3 linked regions of the Drosophila melanogaster genome follow. Changing the gene in region 2 together with the main gene of any one other region gives a genetic interaction. Each region holds a gene or a part of one and is shown on either strand. Other genes may lie near its edges.

Region 1 (5,971 bases), on a different chromosome or scaffold from region 2:
CAAACTAGTTTTTAAATGAATACAAAACTCATCCAGCCGCACATACACACGTATTTTTTACTGATTTGAAAAGAAGGGAGAACTTTTCTTGATTTTCATTTGTTGTGTTGACCAATGCTAATTTTTAGCGAAAAAATTGAGAAGAAAAAATACACATACCAGGAAACACAAATGCAAATTCTTAGCCATTTCGAAGGAGCGTGCATTTAGAACATTGCATCGACTAATATTTACACTTGCATATATTGAAAGCATTTGAATAAATTCTAAATATTACTATAGATCACTAACACAAAAAAAAAATGCATACAATGTTGATGCAAATCAATAAAAAACGAGAAGCCAAGCAAACGCGTTTGAATCAATGTTTGCAGCTTAAGCTAAGTTAGCACACACAATATTATATTAATTATAACGAAACGATATAGGTATGCAGTATAATGCATATATTTATAATGCACCGCCTCCCCTTTCTCCCCGCGCAAACACACAAGAAAATTGCGATGGAGAGGGGGCGAAAACTAAATTGTAATCGATTTACCTATCTTATACTAGGCTATACAAACCGAACCCATTAAACATAACCAAAATCCAAAAGGTTAAACACGAAAACGTAAGGAAAACGCATAAATATGAAAAATGTAACGGAAATCTTTACAAGAAGCGAAATAGGTGTCTTCTATATAATAAATAAACGCCAACAGAAAATCACTTTTAAATTGATTTTGCTTTTTTGGGAGGAATGGAATTTGCACTTAAGATAAAGTGGTACGTATTACATAAATAAAAATAAGTTCATGTGCTATGTACAGAGCTCGTACAAATAGTTTGTACATTTTGCCAAAATTGACAAAGATAAGGTTTGTATATGTGAGCAATGAAAACGAGCTTGGTTCACATTTCCCATAATACTTCTTTATTGAAACGCCCACACATTCCGACCGCCAGTTGCCCGGATCGGAAGTGCGACTGCATGTGTATACATAGGTGCAGCCTTCCGATCCGATTGGTATACATAGATCCGCCGTGGAGGCGATAAGAAGGCCCACAACATCAATAGCTAGCAAAGGGCCAATTTTGGACCGCCGTGCCAACACATAAGTGAAGAGAAGATTATGTTAAGCACATGGGTTTAGATCGTAATCTGTATTGGTAGTAATTAACATTTAGATATCCAAAGCGTAGACATATACAGACAGGTAGACATTGGGTTAGCGGACTATCGTAACTGGCAACTGGCCATCCTATTCATACAGTATATAATATAATATATATATATAGTATATAAAATTAACTAATTCATTTATAAAAAGCAATCATCAAAGCCCAAGTCGCACCGCTCCCTTGGAGTTTGTTTGGTTGTAGTTTGTTGGTGTTATCGTGTTATCCATTATCCTTTGTGTTGTCTTTGATTTGCATTTTCTGGTGTTTCCTGTTGTGGTTGTTGCTTGAGAGGATTAGCGTGTGGTGGGGGGTGATGAGAGGTGCAGCTGTCGTCTAGGTGAAGCTGCAGCAGGAGTTAGTCTTTTTCGCCGTCTTGTAGAACGCCTTGCTCTGCAGCGACAATTTCTCCGACTTGCTGACCATGTCGTCCAGCTTCTCGCCCCGCTCCAGCACCGCCTCGATGGTATTCTTCAGTATGATCTTCGTTTCGTCCAGGTCGTTTTGCATTTTCGTCAGCGGATCTGCTTCGACGGGATTTTGATAGCGTGCTAGAAACGCTGGCAGCAAGTCAAATGAGATAGTGGCCTCCGTGCCATTGGGCCACTGATCGGCCGACACCTTGGCCGTAAAGTCATCCAGAATCTTTGTGATAAGCGTGTGCGCCACGCGATGCGGATACTCATGATCGGCGATCAGTACACCGGCCAGATTGTCCGCCCGCACATAGACATGACACATGTAGGCATCCTGTTTCACCGATTGCCGCAGGGCCGGCTGTGTGCGCTCCACAATCGTCTTCGAAGCGAAACTGCAAGAGGAGGAGTTGTTTAGGGGGGTGTTCGTCATTGATGACTCTTTGAGCCTGCGCCGTTCTTTGGCATCCACATGCATACTCACGTCATGAACTCGTTGACGGTGCCACGTTGGAAAAAGGAGAAGGACTGCAGGTCCGAGGCGGTCTTCAGGAGACGCGCCTCGCTGGCGCCCTTGTGAAAGATGCTCAACGCGAATAGTTTGACCATTTTGAGTGGCTGTGGGCTGCCAAGACTGGGTCTGCGGGTCGCGGGTTGCTCGACTGTTGCTCCTCCAATTAAATGCTTCTGGGGCACTGAGCTGAACGGTTGTCCTGGCTAATCCTACTATGCTCCGGCGGATGGGTTTCACTTTCAGCGCACTGGCATTCGTGGAAAAGTGCGACAAGTGAGTTTGTTTAACGCAGTAAATCTGTGCCGTTCCCCTCTGTGTGTGCGTGTGTGTGTGCGCGGGTGCACATATGCGTAGTGTGTGTCAGCTTATTAGGGATGGTACGTCTGGTATTCGGATGCCATCCGATTATTATCGATTCCAATGGTTACAATTAATAAGCGCAACTTTCTGTAAATGTTTTAATTGTGGTTTTTATCAAACTAAGTTGTTAGCAATACTTTCTGTTACTAACTGAATCTACGGCCATTTGTGGTGTACCATCACTACAAACATCGATAACTACTAATCGGCGGTAACGGCAATGTAACGGTTTTCTTAAGCACTGCAATCTGACTGGTCGCGATTTCTTAAATAATTTCAATGGCAAGGCGTATTAAGTTCCAGCGGTTGGCAGAGATGCGTCCCACAATGACCCGTTTCTCCACCGTTGCCCTGATTGTCTCCAAATCCTCGCCGAACATCTTCTATGACAAGATGAGTGGCACCGAACGAGGGGTTCTCAGCTTGACCATCCGAGATTCCCCCAATCACCTGACCAATTGCAAGTGCTGGGGCCAGCGGGACTGTGTGGATGAGTACGCGGCCATGCTGCAGATCGGCCATGTGGTAGACATTGTGGGCGCTAAAGTGATGTCCATACCGTTTGCTGCTCCGGGAGAACAGCGTTATCAGCCCCAAGCGACGGTCTCCTGCGCCCTGGTGGTCAACGAGGGATCCGGCTATGTGGTGCGCCACGACAATGACGACTTTGGCCAAATAACAATTCTCCAGCAGTTACTCCATCAGCCCATAAGGCCACTTGGTGCGGTCCTTAAGCTGGCGGATGTGCGTTCCGGCTTGGGATTTCCCGATAAGATAATCACCACCAATGTGAATCTACTGGTAGTAGTGGCTGCAGTGCGTCCAGTGCGTCAGATAAAGCGAAAGCTGCAGGGGCCACTAAGTGAGGTCCAGGAGCTGCTACAGTGCTTGGAAGTAATCGTGATCGATGCCAGCTATCCGGAAGGTATGCTGCTCTCCGTTTGGCAACCCGACTGGATACAACGTGCCCAGCAATGGCAGCCACGTCGCACTGTCCTTCATTTGATCGACGTGCGTGTTTCCTACTCGAACTTTCATCGTTCTCTCGTCCTCTCCCATTCCAATTGCACACTTATTTGCGAAAATCCTCAGGCGGCTGGAGATGATTGCCGTCTCTTGCTAGCTTTCGCCGCCACTGTGCCTCTAACAACTTTTAGTGGCTGTGACCAGGCAGAGCTGGACAACATGCCTGCAGGTGAGTAAAGGATAATTAATGCAGTATTATTATTTACTATAACTCTTTCAGTTGCCAGCATTCAGGCGCAGATGACGGTAAGACAGATATATTCACGCGCCGAGGGCGAACTGCAGGATCCGTCCATACATCAGTTTACTGCAGTGCTGTATGGGATGGTCACCAAGTTCGACTTGGATGGATTGACCTCCCACGTCAACAGGAAGTGGTGGGTGTTGTACATCCCCATCCCTTCCTAACCGCCGAAACGCTTCCCACTATCCGTTACATAGTTTACAAGACATATTCTTAAAAGCCCTTTTATTTTACAGCATTGCCTGTCAACAACATATACCACGGAACCTGCAAGATTGCGCCTCGGACGCCTGCCAGCAGTATTTTTCATTGGACAATGATGAACCACGATCCATTAGCTACTTCAATATCAACATTCATTTGTCCGACCAGACCGGCACTCTCGTCGAAGCCCGGTTAGCTGGACATCCGGCAGAACGTATCCTGGGACTTCGGGCTGAAGACTTCGAGCGACTGGCGGAGCGCGAGAAAAGCGAGCTAAAGTGGCGCTTTCTGCTGAAATACTTCGAGGTAAGATTGATGATCAAAAAGCCGGTGGGAGTGCGCAATCATCTCGTCATTGTGGTCGTCGACATGCAAGCCATTCCCCTGGAAAAGCTTGTCGCAAATATGGTCGTTTTCTAAGTGTATGTGGGGTGGTCCCATCAAAATACTGGTGAACCATCTACATAAATAGCGATCTTTATTTCGCATTTTCACATAAAAGTGTACAACTGCAATACATAAATAGATTGAAAGCGCCTCGAAACTCTTAATGTGGGTCCTAAGTGGGATACGTTTGGCTCATTGGGGATGAATCATCTAAGTGTCATTTTGCCTAGTGTTACAGAAGGTGCCGGTGTCTTTGGGTCGTGGTGGTGGTGGGTGGGTGTCTACGGGGCGTTTCAGGTCCACAAAACTGATTTTGGGTCAATTCTAAATGTTGTAATTTCGAGTTGTGTGTTTTAACATGGTATCAAAATGCATTTGGATAACCACAAATGCTTAAGGATTAATGCTTCTTTAAAGTCCTGACTTGCGACTGTTTTATTGTGTTATCAAACGTTCTGTTTTTTAAGACAGCCTCAATCAACGCTTAGTCTTTAAGATTATTTGATACCATTACCAATTTTGGTCAATTAGGAAATTTCAAATACAATTTTTAATTGATGGTTATCGATGTGCAACAATTGAATCATTTTAATACAAATTCGAAAAAGAATACAATGTGTGTCAATACGGAAGTTGCTTTATGGCCATGGAACGCACTGTTCTGGACGCCCATTAGCTTGCCTCAAACTAATCTCACCTGTTGTGTTTCTATAATATTTTTGGGGGGAGGATGGATCTACAGCTGGCGCGGCATGGGAATCACAAGCACCGACTCAACGCCAGCTGCAGACGCAACTTTGGGCTCAATATCTGCTACTAAACTATAATTAAAATCAATCCAAACTGAGTGTCACAATTTACTATACGAGTATATAAACAACGATTTGGTACAACGCTTAATACTGACCTATGTACAGACATATACACATAACAAACAAATCTGGCTACAGGAAGTGATGGACGAACGAATCAACAAGAACTGAATTCATATGGATTGTAAGTCTGCATTTGTACAGGGAATGATACTGGTACTACTGAGTTGTGTTGTGTTCTACATAACTATTCTTTGTAATCCCTTTCCTCGGCTAAATCAACAATATCCACCGGTTAGAAAGAGGGAGAGCATTAAACATTGAACATAAAATCAAACAAAACATAACATAAATAAAAAAAAGGGTTTAGGTTAAAGTAAAATCTAAAACGAAGTGGTTCTTCTTAAGTTCACTTCACTTCGAACTGCCCGCTTGCGAATGGTGGTGCTGCTGCTGCTGGTGGTGGTGGGATCCGTGGTGGTAATGCGATTGGTGGTGCGAGGCGGCACCACCACCGGTGGCGCCACTCGCGCCAGCTGAGGATCCGCTGGCCGACGAGGATCCCTGATGGTTTTGGTGACCCCCCGTGGATGCACTGTGACCCCCACCACTATGATTAAGCGAGGGCAGCGAAGCTGATGCCGTGGCAGCCACCAGTGCCGCAGCGGCGGATGCAGCTGCCGCTCCAGCAGTAGCCGTATTTAACTTGGTTCCATTGGAGTTGCTGACGCGCAATTGTCGGATTTCAGGAAAGAACTCAATCATAAGTATCTCCAGCAGCTCCTGAAGATTAGAGATACCAATTGTATATTTGGCTATATGACCACTGAAACCACTACTCACGTAG
Region 2 (8,188 bases):
ACCGACATCCAATCGTTCCGTCACACACCCAACCAGCAATGCAACATCATACGTTAACTAATTAAGTCCTTATTTTTTACCCCACTATAGAACTCCTCTGCGACGAATAATAAGTACATTCCGCGTCTGGCCGACATCGATTCGAGTGAACCTCACTTGGAGCTGGTGCCGGATACATGGAACGTGTACGACGTATCCCAGTTCTTGCGGGTGAACGATTGCACAGCCCACTGTGACACGTTCAGCCGGAACAAGATCGACGGAAAGCGACTCCTGCAGCTGACCAAGGACGATATCATGCCACTGTTGGGCATGAAGGTGGGCCCAGCACTGAAAATTTCCGACCTTATTGCACAGCTTAAGTGCAAGGTTAATCCGGGCAGAGCCAGATCCCACAAGACCAACAAATCACCGTTTTTATAGTGCGCGGATTTTAGTTTTTTCAAAGCAAAACGAAAGTTATCACCGATAGAACACACACACACACTTTTATACGTGTACACTACTGCGTATGCATATATAATATATATATATATATATATAGATATATAGATATTGAAGTATTTTGTTAGCACTGGAAATCGAAACACAAACGTTGCCTAGAATGGATCAACCATCCATGATACAATTGTATAACTAACTCAAGTCTCACAGCGCGTTATTTTATACCGATTAAATTGTAAACCGTAGACCTTAGGCGTACGCTCATGTTATATCAGTCAGAGTTCTATATCAACAATTGTATAAAGATGATTGAATTGATGACAGTGACTTTTTTTAAATCACGCATATTTTTATAAAAATAAGAGTAATAACAATGCATGCAACACATGTATTCACATGAATATATGGGGAGATTGCATAGCATGGGCTTGTACAGTGTACATAAAATAAGCCGTCGCCGATTATATAGGACCCAAGAATATCATATTTTATATAGAAGCAAGCGCAAGCAAATAACCCAGGCAGCATGCCCTCAACTTTCAGTCGTAAACGGAGCGATTGGAAGTCGCTCCTAGTCTGTAAGATCCACGATTAACTAGCCGCTCTCTCCTTCGGTTAACTTCGTTCCGGTGTCACACATCTCTGCAAGGAGGGCATTATTGGTGTAAGGCAAACTTTTGAAGAAGGCAACCTTAATGATAAAATATGTATTTAGATATCCCTAAGGTACCAGCTAATGTCAAGATACTTTAATAAAACCGAATTCAAAATTGCAAGTATTGAAATATCGCCGACTAACTTTTATATGTGTTGGTTTTCTTTGGGTTTATATGTGCTCTACAGTCAAAACTCATTTTCATTTCTGTTTTTTTTTTTTTTAGATTGGTTTATATTCTGGATATTAATACACTTTTAAGACATATAGACTAAATTCTTACTGCTATGTTTACACTGCGTTTGGTGGCTATATATTTATGCTAGGTTTCGAATAAACATTTCAAACACGCACACCAAATTTCCAACTCTTATGAATATTTTGAAATCCATGCGCTGTTACATTTTGATGTGGGTGCGAGTGTATAAATGTTAAAAAATAGTTGCCATAACCGATAGAAATATAAAATGGTAAGGAGATAACACAAAAAAGTAGAAAAAGAATCATGTACAATACAAATTAGGGGCGAGTGCTTATATACAGAGTGTTTGTGTCTAGTTTTTAACTAAAACTAACGTATTTTTCCGTTTGCATTTGCATAGTTTTGAATATGTTACGCTTAGAACTAGATTTAAAGTTGAGGCGCTGCTTCTCTTTGAATACAAAGAAATCCTGCTTTCTAAAGGATTTTCAACTTTCCGCTTATCTCTTTAGTTTGTCTAAAAAGGCCTCAATAACAACTTAATATAATAAAATACTAACATTTACAGCGTTTCGTTTTGAAAAAGAGAGATAATAAATAAACTAAGAGTTTTTCAAAAATATCAAAACGGGATTGGGCATAAGGGGTTGGTGGTAAAGCAACGAGGGTCAGATCTCTAAAGCCTCGAATTGAGTAAACTAGTGGATCCGGTTTCATTTCTTGAAAACTTCGTGATACCGGGAATTGAAGTGTTCTCATATTCTAAATAAATAACAAGTAAACGGTTTACCGTTTCCGATTCCAGTACCTTTCCGGGGAATGAAATTGGTAACATGGCCCTCGGCTACGATTTCGCAGCTTCTCTGTTTACAAGTTGGCTTGAATTGCATTTAAAATAAATACTACACTACTAGCAGGGGCTAAGATTACGTTTACACTGCTGCTAACTGTCCTGGAGGCGGACTCTCCTCAGATCTTTCTATTTGGGTCTGCTGCTTATTTTCCTCACTTGGTCGCCGCTTCTTTAGTGGGGGAATTTCCGTTTCAATAGCGGGCGTTGGCTGCTGTTCTATAATGCAGGCGGTTCTTTTCTGGCCGGGACTGCTGTTGGGCAGCGGTTCGTTGGATCCATTCACTATATCGGTGACTATGTGAGCCTCCAGTGAAGGCGGTAGCAATGGTGACAATGGAACGGCGTTCAGATCACATGCATCCTCATCATCATCCTTATAATTGTGCCCCACATTGCCAAAGAGATCACTGTGTCTATTGTGTGATCTTTCCTCTTCTTCGTCATCATCATCGCTGTAATCGTTGTCCCAGAATACCTGGGCTCCTGGAAACACATACGAATAGTTGTTGGTGTGCGAATAGAATGTTCCAGGCTGCAGACGCTCGGCTGCTGTCTGTCGCTTTCCCCTCTGTTGTGGAATGGGCGTCAGGCTGGGCGCCACTGTCTTGGTCTCCTGAACAAGATTGCTGGGTCGCACGTAGCTAGGCGTGGCTTCGTTGTCGCACTGCTCGATGCCGCTATCCTTGGAGGAATCAATGGAAAGATGGCGATAGCTCTCCACCGTTGTCTGAGGGCCTTCCAGGCCCAGACGATCGCAACTTAGGGCTGTGGTCTCGTTCAGCTCAACCAGTATGTCTGTTTTAATACGTTCGATGGCTGCCGCTTCGGCGGCAGTGGAACGCTTTCCACAGCTAAAAGTAGATGACTCAAATCCACTATCCGAGCAGGTGCCAGCTGATCCTAGTATGTAGTCCGCCGAACTATTTGATTTAATAGACTGCGTATCCGTGTCCAGTTGCGACTGTCGCTCGCTCTCTGAACTGCAGTGGCGGTGGTGAAGTAGATGATGATGGAGGTGGTGATTAGAGTGCTCCGGAGGCATTAGCTCCTTGCTTTCGGTAAGCACTGACTCATCGCAGCACAGCTGCCGCCAGCAATCATCGTTGTCCGACAACCGGTGGCAAATCTGGTTGATGATCACATCGGAGTCGCCCAGCAGCTCCACATCGAACTTAAGGTGATGCAGCTGCTCGCGATTGATAAGAATCTGCGGCACCGTGGCCGGTATGCTGCTGGGAATGTGGGCCACAGGTCGGACCTTCAGCGAGGAGCCGATCACGATCAGTAGATCGCACACGTCCTTGTCGGTGGCCATGACCGTGTGGTACTCATCCGGCAGTCCTGTTGGCAATATGAAAAGCAAACACAATATGATATATGGTAAATAGCGTTACTTTGTATTTTCAATAGTTTATCTCTTAAATAAACACTTCTTTTGATCGTCGAATTTGAAATTCTTGCATTTATTTTACCAAGGCTATTGATAATATATAATAAATCTGTATAAAAATGGCACCTACCCTCGCCGAAAAAGACGATATCCGGCTTCATGATGCCGTTCTCGACCAGTTGGCGCAGCTCCTCCTCAGTAACGGCCACCGAGGCATCCACGCTCTGCTCCTTATTGGGCTGGCACTGCGGGCACACCGGAATTCGCTGGGCAAATATGTCCGCCCGCAGGGCGTCAGCGTTGCACTTGAAACGACACTTGGTGCACGAGGCCGTTGAAAAGGAGCCGTGACACTCGATTACTCGCTGAATGCCTGCCACCCGCTCGAGGGTGTCGATGTTCTGTGTGTAGTTGCGCAACAGTTTGCCCTTGGTCTCCAGCATTTTGATGAAACGATGGCAGGGTGAGGGCTGAAACTCGCCGGGATATATCTCGCGGGCAAACTTGTAGAACGGTCGTGGATCCCTCTTGAAGTAGTTGATATCAAACATGGCCTGCGGATCGGGCAGATCGGGAAAATCATGGGCCAATCGCGCATATATGCCATTGGTGGACCGGAAGTCCGGAATGCCGCAGGAGACGGATACTCCGGCTCCCGTTAGCACAATGATCTTCTGTGATTTCTTGACCAAACTGATGACATCGTCGAAGGTGTTCACTGAGGCCAGCTTGTTGCGCCGCTTCGGCTCGTTCAACAGGTGGGCCAAATAGTCCCACAGCACGGAGTCGTCGGTGTCGCCCGCCAGGCCGGTGGCGAAATGCGGCATAATGCTGGCAATAACCTGGCGCGGCACACGACCTGTGTAAAATTCTCGTTGCAACCAGCGCAGCTTCCAGTCGGGTTCCACGGATGAGGAGCAATTTGAGCTGGAGTCCTCATCCTCGTTGCTCGTTCCGGTGATTCCCTCCTCGTCGTCCTCCTCCTCCTCCTCATCGTCCTCTTCCTCCTCCTCCTCGTCATCTTCATCCTCGCCCATTGACTTTGTGGGATTTTTGGTTTTATGCTCCAAATTGGCGCCAATCTCTTGTTCTTCCCTGGCAGCCAATGTTTTTGTTTTGATTTCACCATTTGCTTTGCCAGCAAGTTCGCTTGTTGCTGGTTCTGTGGTTGTTGCTGTTGCTTCTGCCTCTGCCTCTGCCTCTGTTGACGTTGAGGCCAGAATTTCCGCGCCAAAATCAAACTTAGTTGGCGGATAGAATTGCGTAGTGTCTGGCACCTGGTTGCCCAGATCTTTAGACCTAATGTGGCCCAGGCGAATTTCCTCGTAATTTTCCATCATTTTTTCCGAACCCAAGCGCGCGCACACGCGCACACACACAGACTCACGGAGAGAAAACTCTCGTAGTTGGTGCTGTTGCTGGCTCTTCTTCTTCTTGCGCGAGTGTTTCCTCGGTCTCTCCGCTTTGCGCTCTCGCCTCGTCCGTTTTCTCCGCTCTTTCGTTGGTACACACAAAAATTTTTACGTCGTCAGCTTCGCACCCATTTGGCTTGATTGAAAAAATTCTCCAGCGATCGTTTGGCCGCGATTTTTTCAACCAACCCGACTTTATTTCACGTATATGCACGAAACTTAAATTTTAAAAAAATTTCGACACCATTTGGTTGCGATTTTTTCGTAATTTTCGAGCGTAGTTTCTGGAAAATTTTCCGATGAAAAAAGCAAGATGGCACACGTAGCTGCGCCTGTGTGTGTATGTGGGCTGGCAGACGTGATTCGGGTGGGACCCTGACACGTCGTGTGGAAAGTGCTAACGCGTTTCTGCATGGAAAGTGCCGCCAGCATGACTCATCACGGTATGTTTTTAGTATTTTTTGGGATTTTTGAGGGTGATTACGTGTTGCTACAGTGGCCACTGCCTTATGTCATATCTAATTTAATCCATTTCTTTAAAAACTGTTTAAAATATATCAATAATTTGTCAAAAAGTTAGTAAAATTAATTTTAAATTATGCTTCGAACTTTAATTTTAGCACTCTTTTACTTATCAAATTTACTCGATATTTAAACAATTAAGTAAAAATAATTTTTTTGTCCAATATTTACACATTTCATAGTAGTATTATAAATTGATGTATTGATAATATGCAGTTCATATGTCCAAAAACTTCCATCAAGCTGTTAAATACAAAAATGTGTAAACAGATTTCCAGAACGTTCCAGCAAGTGTCTACTGTTCCCCAAAAAAGCTGCGATTTTAAGTATTTATTTGGTACTTTCCCCAAAATTATAGGTTTTTGGTAGAACTTGGGCATACTTGTTAGCCAATATGACTTGAAAATATTGTCATAAATACATTGTTAAATAATTTAATAAGTCGTACACTTACAATGTACAAAATATTTTAGTTTGTAGGGGGACTGGGGATGCAATAGGAAATGGACAACCTAAATTTATACGACGTTCTTAAAGTGGCTCCGGATGCAACTGATGAGGAAATAAAAAAGGTATGTAACAGTTCCAATTCGATATGTTGGTAAATAGTTTGTATTCACCTTTTCACCAATAGAACTACCGAAAATTGGCAAAAGAGTTCCATCCAGACAAGAATCCCGATGCGGGCGACAAGTTTAAAGAAATATCCTTCGCCTACGAAGTGCTGTCCGATCCCGAGAAGCGGCGCATCTACGACCGATATGGATTGAAGGGCCTGCAAGAGGGCGCCGAGGGATTCTCTGATGCCTCCGAATTCTTCGCCCAGTGGTTCCCCTTCGATCGAGTCTCGTCCGAAGGTCGGGGCAGGCGCAATGGCAAAGTCGTGGTAAAAGTGGAGCTGACCCTGGAGGAGATCTACGTCGGCGGCATGAAGAAGAAGGTGGAGTACAATCGCCAGAAGCTGTGCTCCAAGTGTAACGGCGATGGCGGTCCCAAGGAAGCGCACGAGAGCTGCGAGACCTGCGGCGGAGCTGGACGAGCGGCCGCATTTACCTTCATGGGTCTCAGCCCCTTCGATACGGTATGTAAGAATTGATTGTAGTTGTAGTGAATGCACACCGCGGACCACACATCCGTGGAGATCCCATATACCACACTTCGGAGCAGATTATTTAAATTATTTTTTTTTGCAGACCTGTCCGACTTGCGATGGCAGGGGCTTCACCATAAGGGACGACAAGAAGTGCAGTCCCTGCCAGGGCAGTGGTTTCGTAGAGCAGAAGATGAAGCGGGACCTGGTTGTGGAGCGAGGAGCACCGCACATGCTAAAAGTTCCCTTCGCAAATGAGGGCCACCAAATGCGAGGCGGCGAATTTGGGGATCTGATTGTAGTCATCTCCCAGATGGAACATCCAATCTTTCAGCGCCGCCATGCCAATCTGTACATGCGAGACCTGGAGATCAACATCACGGAGGCCTTGTGCGGCTACTCGCATTGTTTCAAGCACTTGGATGGACGAAACGTCTGTCTGCGCACGTACCCTGGTGAAGTGTTGCAGCACAACCAGATCAAGATGGTGCGAGGCAGTGGTATGCCTGTTTTTAACAAGGCCACCGACAGTGGAGATCTCTACATGAAGTTTAAGGTTAAGTTTCCGGACAACGACTTTGCCACGGCACCGCAGTTGGCCATGCTGGAGGACTTACTCCCTCCCAGACAGCCGATAGTGATCCCAAAGAACGCCGAGGAAGTGCAAATGACGGACTATAAGCCGCAGCCACGACAGCAGGAAGACGAGGACGGACAGTCGTCTCACTTTGAGGGCGTACAGTGCCAGACGGCTTAGTGCATGTGGTTGTGGCTCCTGCAGGCGCGGTATCTCTGCCTCGATTTGTGGCTCATCCTGGGCACTTTCAGCGTAGATGAAGTCTGCTTCCTGGTGCCGCTGTTCGTCCTGATATGCATAGTATTATTTTTCATACAGGAATGTTTGCTGTGAAAAGCGCGTGATCTAAATTCGTAGTGTTATTATTCGAGACTAAAGCTTAGCTGATCTGTCACTAATACATTAGCCACGCTAAATTAACTATTAACTACTTATTTATTGGTACCTATTTTTTGGGCTGAACTTGCCCCAATTATCCCTACAAAACTATAAACGAATACACAATAATAGTTCTCTCATAGAAATCTTAAAAACCGGATAAATTTAAATCGATTTACGTATTTTTATTTAATTTTTAATATTGTTGCTGAGAATTGAGTATTCAAAGATTCGAAAGATCCGTTTTAATCGCTTTCATTGGATTCATCAGCGGATGTCGTTTCGTCTGATTGACCACCATCTGTCTTGGTCAAATTCATAGGCGACCCTTTGGGCTTTGGCATGACTTGTGATGAATTCAATGATTTAAATGACAAGGGTTCTAAATTTGGCTCCGTCTTGGCTCCCTCTTGCGGCAGCTCATCGCTGTTGCCTGCCAAGTCCTCCGTCTGGTCATCCCTGGGCTTTCGTAAATCCAGTGCCGAGGTCGAATGAGCACTATCCACCATCTCGATGATCTCCTCCGTTTCCATGGGATGATGGTCGTCTAGCTTCTCCGGCGGCATCACAATCATTTCACCCGTGCGCATTCCCTTCGAATCGGCCAATTGTTCGGCGCTTACCTTCATCATAGTCAGATACTGATTGTACTTGGCGTAGTTGCG
Region 3 (6,705 bases), on a different chromosome or scaffold from region 2:
AAAGTTCAGAGTTACCTTTTTGAAAAAGGCGACTAATTAGTGTACAACTAAGAAAGCGGATGGAATCCCAAACAGGTTGGACTACTCGTATTTCTTTTATAACCAAACCCTGCAAAAGTCGAGAACTTTTTCCTTCCTTCATTTTCCCCTGCAAAGTGCAAATGTTTTTTCCATGAAATATGAAGAAAATTTTGATTGTATAATTTAATTAGTTTTTTAGCACTCAACCGGTGGAAGGGAAACTCCATAAATAACCCATTAAGTGGCTGCGGAAACTTTATCTGCCGTCGATGGTAATCATCCCAGTTAACCGAAACTGCCGGGACTTCAGTCCATTTGAGTGGCTTCGTTCAATTTCAAACTGTTGTGGGCAATTATTGTAAGTTTTTCGCTTGCCATTCCATCTGTTCTCAATTTCGGTTTAAGTGCTGCCGACGCTGCCGCTGCCACGCCTTGTTTTCAATTAAATGAACACACCCACCGCCCACCAAGCACCACCCACCACCCACCACCCACCGGAGCTGTTCCCAATAGCTGGTTTCATTATTACCGAGTTGCCAAATACAAACAAGCCAAAAACAAAGCAAAAACAAAGAAAGCGTAAAATCCATGAAAATTGTTGCCGCAATATTGAAAACGCGCCGTATTTGGGTCTTCGTCGCCCCAAGTAGCCCGCTCCATAGTCCCTCAGTACAAATTGAGCAACAAAACCGCCCGCCGCCCACTGAACACCACCCACCGCCTACTGTTGGAAAAGCAAGGAAAACAATCGGCAGCAGATTAAGTTCATGCCATGCTGCAGTTACATTTACAGTTACAGAGTTCCAGGACAAGCCCGACGACCCCCTCTTTCATATTCATTTTTGTACACACTTTGTGTTATATGTGGGCCAAAACAAATGTTGCCCGAAACCGATTTTCACCCGAAACTGGGAAAAACCCATTCAGAGCATCCTTTCAGAGACTCTTTCAGCTTGCGCTTTTCAGGATCATTGGCAGCGGGTTCGCAATCGTTTTGTGTTTTTTCTTTTTTTTTTGGCGAGGGCCTTAGCAAACGTTGCGAAAATATGTCACAACATTTGTTACACATTTTCGGGTCAATTTTTTATTGCAACGGGCGACTCGACTGTGCTCGACTCTGCATAAGCCGGGCGCCACCCACATGATCCGAAATCTTGTCACAGCTGCTGGCAACTGCCCTACCCTGGGAAAACCGTACACATATCCCAAAAGTCCCATCCCCAAGTCCCCTTTGGCTCCCCTCGTCGAGTGCCATTGACACTAGCGTGTCTTTCAATTAAAATCCATTCAGCTGTAAAATCGTAAACAGTTTTGTGCAGAGAGCAGAACACCCCTGGGTCTGCTGATAATGGAGATGAGGAAACTATTTTGTCACTCTTAAAAATACAAGTACTACTGCCAAAGAACAGGAAAACAAAGTCGATCTTCTGTTACTCGAAGTTCCCGAAAGGACACCTTTAAACGCGTTTTTCATTTAGGTATAAGGACACAAAACATGTTCAAATAGATGAAATCTTTTTAATCAGGCTCAAAAAATTTGAAACAGGATCTTAAACCCAAAGAAGACATTTGGAGAAATTGAGTAAGATAATTTTAAATTCCGCCATAACTAGCTTTCTTTTAAATATGCTGTTCAAATAATTAAATGCCGCTAATGATTGACTTTCAGTAGCTATCTAATGCTTTCCTTGCCAATTGAATTTACAATAGATTTTTGAAATGAACCTCCAAAGCAGTGAACCTGCGTGACAATTCAGTATGCCGAACTGATTGGCCTTTTAGCTACTGGGTATCAGCACGCGAGGCAGCCTGAATGACTGCAAATTAATTATGCACAACAAACAGATGACCCCCAACCGGCGAACGGCGACCCGTGTGGCAAAGACAACAGTATATGTACATTTTCCATGTACTATGGCGCAGCACAACAACGCTAAGTCCGGCGTCTGCCGTCCGGTTTGTCCAGTAATTGTTGCTTTAATTGTTGTGCAATCCCCCAAACCCACACCAAAGCCCAATCCCGATCCCAATTCAAAGGCCGGAGCTCGGAACCCAAAGAACCCCACCCGAAAAGCCGTCACGAATCAGCCTAAGCTGAGGCAAAAAGGGGATGGAATGATCGGAGGCTGCTTCGCCAATGTCGACCGCAAATTAATTTACAACGTAAACTGCAAAATTGAAAATTATGTTGTAATTACTCAATTCTGACGTTTTTCCCATTGACCCAAATTTATGGGGCCGTGCACCAACACCAACTCATAACACATACACACACACACGCACACATATACTGGCGCACATACATATTCAACGCAAGAGTTGAAGGCGCTTCCTTGTGGACGCTTCTTGGCTAAGCTCTTGGATTTACTGACACTGAGAGAAAACACCATTGAATACTTGAAAGTTTTTCCGATAAAAATACTATTTAAAAACAAAAAAGCATATTTAATTTGCGTTTATAAATCAAACATAATTAGCTAACAAGTAAATGAGTTATAAAAATAACTTTATTTTGCCAAGTGTGTTATGTCTGGCCTCAACCTTTGTGCCAATTTAAATGCGTAATTATAACGAGTGCCAGAGAGCAGTTAGAGTCCGTTCTGGCCTGCATATTAATTACGTTCACGGCGCCGCACAAAAGCGGAGTCCTGAAAGCCTGAAAGGGGAGGAAATCTTGGCAGGACCAAAGCAGACAATAGGAATTTTAATCAAGGATCAGCGTGCTCGAATTTATTTAAAGGTGGGCCATCGGAGCACCCCACCCACAGTGTGCTTCGCTCCTGGCCCCTTGGCGCTCTGGTTGGTAATCTGGTCAGCGTGTTTCAGGCATGCCATGAATGCCTTGCCTTACCTTGCCCCTTTCCCAGGCCCTTCTATTCACAAGCACAAATGCCGGCCAATTGTGGGGCTCCGTGAAGAGGGGACAAATAAAGGCTAATTAAGAGCGGAATGACAAGGCGAAGAAATGGGTTTTCATTGTTGCTGCCAAGCCGGGGCCAATGTTATTCTAAGATGGCACAAACTCACGATCCAAAGGTATTTAACCTTTCTTCTCATAAACGTACTATAACTTTCTCCGTAAATCTTTTCAATTTTTATTACCTGAAACATTGAGATAAACTAATCACGTCAGGCTAAAAATAGAAACATAATTCCATTTTCATTGGTTTGCCTCTGGCTGGCCTTAACCGGCCATCTCTTAAGAGTTTCCGTAGTGTAGCGGTTATCACGTGTGCTTCACACGCACAAGGTCCCCGGTTCGAACCCGGGCGGGAACAGTCGAAATAGTTTTTTGTCTTTTTTTATTTCATTATTATAGTTATTTTGCGATAATATTAAATTTAACATAATATTCACATTAAAGATGCGTCATCTTCCCATTCAGGGGCGTTTAATTGGAATTTTATTTGCATCAGCACAATGTGTTCTAACCTGGCATGATAAAATACATATAATGTTTATTTAACAAATCATTTGATTTACAAATTTGCTCGCCTTAAGCCGTATTTATTTGAAGATTTGAAGGGCTGGAGAAATGTTATCTTGGGCGGACACTTAACAGAATCATAAGCTTTCGTCCCGGCTTTACATATGATATGTATGATGAAGCTCAAAGTTTGTGCTTTACACTGCCCAACAAAGATCGACACCCAATAATTATACGAACGAGAAAATAAAACGATTTCAAAACCTTTGGAACTTTTCATTTCACTAGAACTCCCTTGACTTTTTGGACCCGCGTTCTTATACATTTTCATGAATCACACTCTTCATCTTCCGTATAAGAGAGCTTTCTCTTTCGGCTACTTACCACGCGATAGTCCAAAAAAGCTTTGCATAAACAAAACACTCAGAGCTTTCAGAGTCCACGCACCGAATGTGGTAGCAATGTCAAATTCGTGATTATCAGCGTTAATTGTACAATATTATGATTTATTCGAGCTGTAAATCTTCACAGCAAGCACAAACTGTAATTATACCACTTAGAATTCGTTGATGTAGTCAATTTTTTGAGATAATACAAACATTCCCGAGAAACTTAAAGAACTCGCCGGTTGGAGGGAACAATTCGCGTCCGTCAGCTGTGAAAGCTTAATGCCAACTGAGAGAACCGGCATCGAGAAAAAAGCCTTATGCAATTGCTCACGTTTGTTTACCAAGTAGTTCCCAGTAAGTGATAAATAATAATGAATGAAACTTATCTATCATTTAGTCACTTCCCCATTGATAGTTTCCAGAATGTCTGAACAAAGGGGCATAGCTATCGAAATTATAGAATTAAATCCCCCCACTTTATTTCATTGACACTCGTAATTCCAAAAGTTACAAACTGTAAATAATTGTTTGCCGCTCCCACGCTTCGATTCATATAAACTGAAACGATTACTATTGTTTTATCCAAAGTCAATTAGCTTTGGATCATTGGCTTTTGATTGCGTAAGATCATTTTACGATTTCAACCACTACAATACAGCGAATTTTCTCCTACTGCTGCAGAGCATATGACCATATATGGAAAATGATTTTAAAATCACCATATACCATATAAATTCAGGCTATCATTTAAGAAAATCTTGCTAGGGAATGCTAGCTGCTAATAGGATGTATTACTAGTTAGCAAGACACAGTTAATTAGTAAGTCACAGTAATTAGTAAGTAAGCAGCAGCTTGAAATACCAAAATATTATATCTACGAATTTCCGGTGTCTTGAAACACTCTATATTTTGTTTACACATTTTATTTATCAAAATTAAATATAATATATATATTAATTTAGTCAACAAATGCCAATCATCATGGCGATGGGATGCGGTTAATAAATAGTACACTCCATTGATCAGGAGGGGAAGTTCATTAAGAGTACATAGACTAGTGCGTACCTAAACCTAGGCTATAGTTACTGCTAAGGTGGATCGGTGGAACGGGAATGCGATTAATCCCTCGTGTGATCGCGTATCCAGTCAAGGTATTCAGTGACTCGAGTATAGACACCTGGATGGGCATAAAAATTAGTAAATGCTCTTTAAAGTAATGTTTCTGTAGCGCAACATACCTGGATATCCCGGCTCACCACACTTGTTGCCAAAGGACACCACTCCCAGTTGAACCCAGTGGGAATCATATCGCATCATCAAAGGACCGCCAGAATCGCCCTGCAAAACGGTTAAATTAGTTTTGATCCTCTATGAATGGAAACTCCTTTATTAACTCACCTGACAAGCATCCACTCCGCCATCGGAGTATCCTGCGCAGATGAAGTTCTCGTTGATAGGCTGGAAGTAACTGCGGTCGCAATCCTCATTCCGCCAAATGGGCAGTTCCGCCTGTCGTTGGCTGGTGGACTCCTTACCACCGTAGTAGGTGGTGCCCCAGCCCACAACGGTGGCTCTACGTCCGGGAAGCCGTTCCTTGGGCGGCATCCTGATTCCCTTTGGCAGGCAGACAGGGATTACATACTTTGATTTCCTCACGGGCTTATCCAAAACAAGGATGGCAATGTCATTGTAGAATCCAATGCGGGAGAATCTGAGGATACACACGTTACCAATACTATTCACATTAGGAGGTCCATAACCTACCGCTCATGGGTGCGCACTTCCTTGACGGCGAAGGTCACGGGATCAGAGGGTTCCGCATCCGTTGACAGATCGATGTCACCCAAGCGAACCGTAAACTGTCGAGCAGCAAATCTAGAAGAAAAAGTCGATATTAGTGCCCATCAAATGCAGGACTCACTATGACTTACGGTTTTTGACGCGAGTCCCGCGTACAATGCGCAGCTGTCAGGATATATTTGGTGCCAATCAACGAACCACCGCACCAGAACTCCGTGCGCTTGGGTCCATGGAGAAAAATGGCTGCCATCCATGGCCACTGACCATTCGGAGCCTCCACTCCGCCCACAATCCTACCAGTTGAGTACTCCTGCTGACCGCACTCATCGGGGTCCACAATGTTGTTGCCGATCTCGTCCAGACCCTCCGGCTCCAGAGGCACCTCCGTCGTGGTGGTCGTCGTGGTAGTGGGCGGTTTCTTCTGGGGAATGAGCACGAGACCAGATGTGGGGCGCGTGGTGGGTCGAACAGTGCTTTTCTTCGTGGGTTGCGTAGCCTTGGTGGTGCTGGTGGTCGTCGTGGGACGAGTGGTCAGCCTCAGAGGTTTCTGAGTGGTCAAAACAGTGGAGGATGAGGAAATGGGGCAGCACACGCCCGGCACATAGAGACTCTTGAAGCACAGGGACTCTCTCAAGCTGCTGAGATTCAGCAGCAGAGCGGGACAACTGCTGAGATCCTCGCAACGTCCTCGCCTTCCACTTGGCGTTTTGCAGTAGTTTTCCACATCTTTCCCGGTTCCTGCCTCATCACTAGCCTCTGCCAACTGATCCAATGGGGTCAGAGTAATAGGTGCCTCTGTGGTGGTGGACGTAGTTGTGGTGCGCGGAGTAGTGGGTATCTTGATCTTCTGCTGCGATTGCTGAGCACCCTGGGCTACCGGAACCAGGACACCTTCTTCACTGGGCTTCTTGACCTTCTGCTTGTTCTTATTCTTCTTCTTTTTCTTCTTTAGCTTCAGCTCCTTGTTCTCCACAAACATGGGAGCAGAGTCATCCATACCGATTCTTTTAGTTGCCACTTGGATGACACTCAGATTCGCAGGCTTGCCAGCTGGTAGTAAACTATTGG

What was found. A genetic interaction does not mean that the proteins touch.
Region 1: of Sirt1 (region 2) and hdm, changing one suppresses a phenotype caused by changing the other (phenotypic suppression), as found in Drosophila melanogaster (one study listed by BioGRID).
Region 3: of Sirt1 (region 2) and Naam, changing one suppresses a phenotype caused by changing the other (phenotypic suppression), as found in Drosophila melanogaster (one study listed by BioGRID).

What each region holds. Positions count from the first base shown.
Region 1 is NC_004354.4:7,916,891-7,922,861, reverse strand, and holds hdm (hold'em), read left to right. Parts: upstream 1-2,730; coding exon 2,731-3,646; intron 3,647-3,697; coding exon 3,698-3,854; intron 3,855-3,957; coding exon 3,958-4,345; downstream 4,346-5,971. Other genes in the region: YKT6 v-SNARE, read right to left, coding at 1,498-1,972, 2,062-2,186; snz (snazarus), read right to left, coding at 5,539-5,907, 5,968-5,971. UniProt on the Drosophila melanogaster protein: Single-stranded DNA-binding protein required for meiosis. May be involved in the resolution of recombination intermediates into crossovers in the meiotic recombination pathway.
Region 2 is NT_033779.5:13,162,687-13,170,874, reverse strand, and holds Sirt1 (sirtuin 1), read right to left. Parts: upstream 5,312-8,188; 5' UTR 4,885-5,311; coding exon 3,675-4,884; intron 3,496-3,674; coding exon 2,234-3,495; 3' UTR 1,324-2,233; downstream 1-1,323. Other genes in the region: Sfmbt (Scm-related gene containing four mbt domains), read left to right, coding at 91-423; DnaJ-H (DnaJ homolog), read left to right, coding at 5,982-6,050, 6,113-6,559, 6,672-7,325; kmg (kumgang), read right to left, coding at 7,769-8,188. UniProt on the Drosophila melanogaster protein: NAD-dependent histone deacetylase involved in heterochromatic silencing. Mildly suppresses the heterochromatin-mediated silencing phenomenon known as position-effect variegation (PEV). Required for epigenetic silencing of the polycomb group proteins.
Region 3 is NT_033777.3:19,668,871-19,675,575, reverse strand, and holds the start of Naam (nicotinamide amidase), read right to left. Parts: upstream 4,127-6,705; 5' UTR 3,833-4,126; intron 3,300-3,832; exon of another isoform or gene 3,227-3,299; intron 1-3,226. Other genes in the region: CG7432 (uncharacterized protein), read right to left, coding at 4,956-5,014, 5,076-5,175, 5,236-5,548, 5,602-5,712, 5,769-6,705.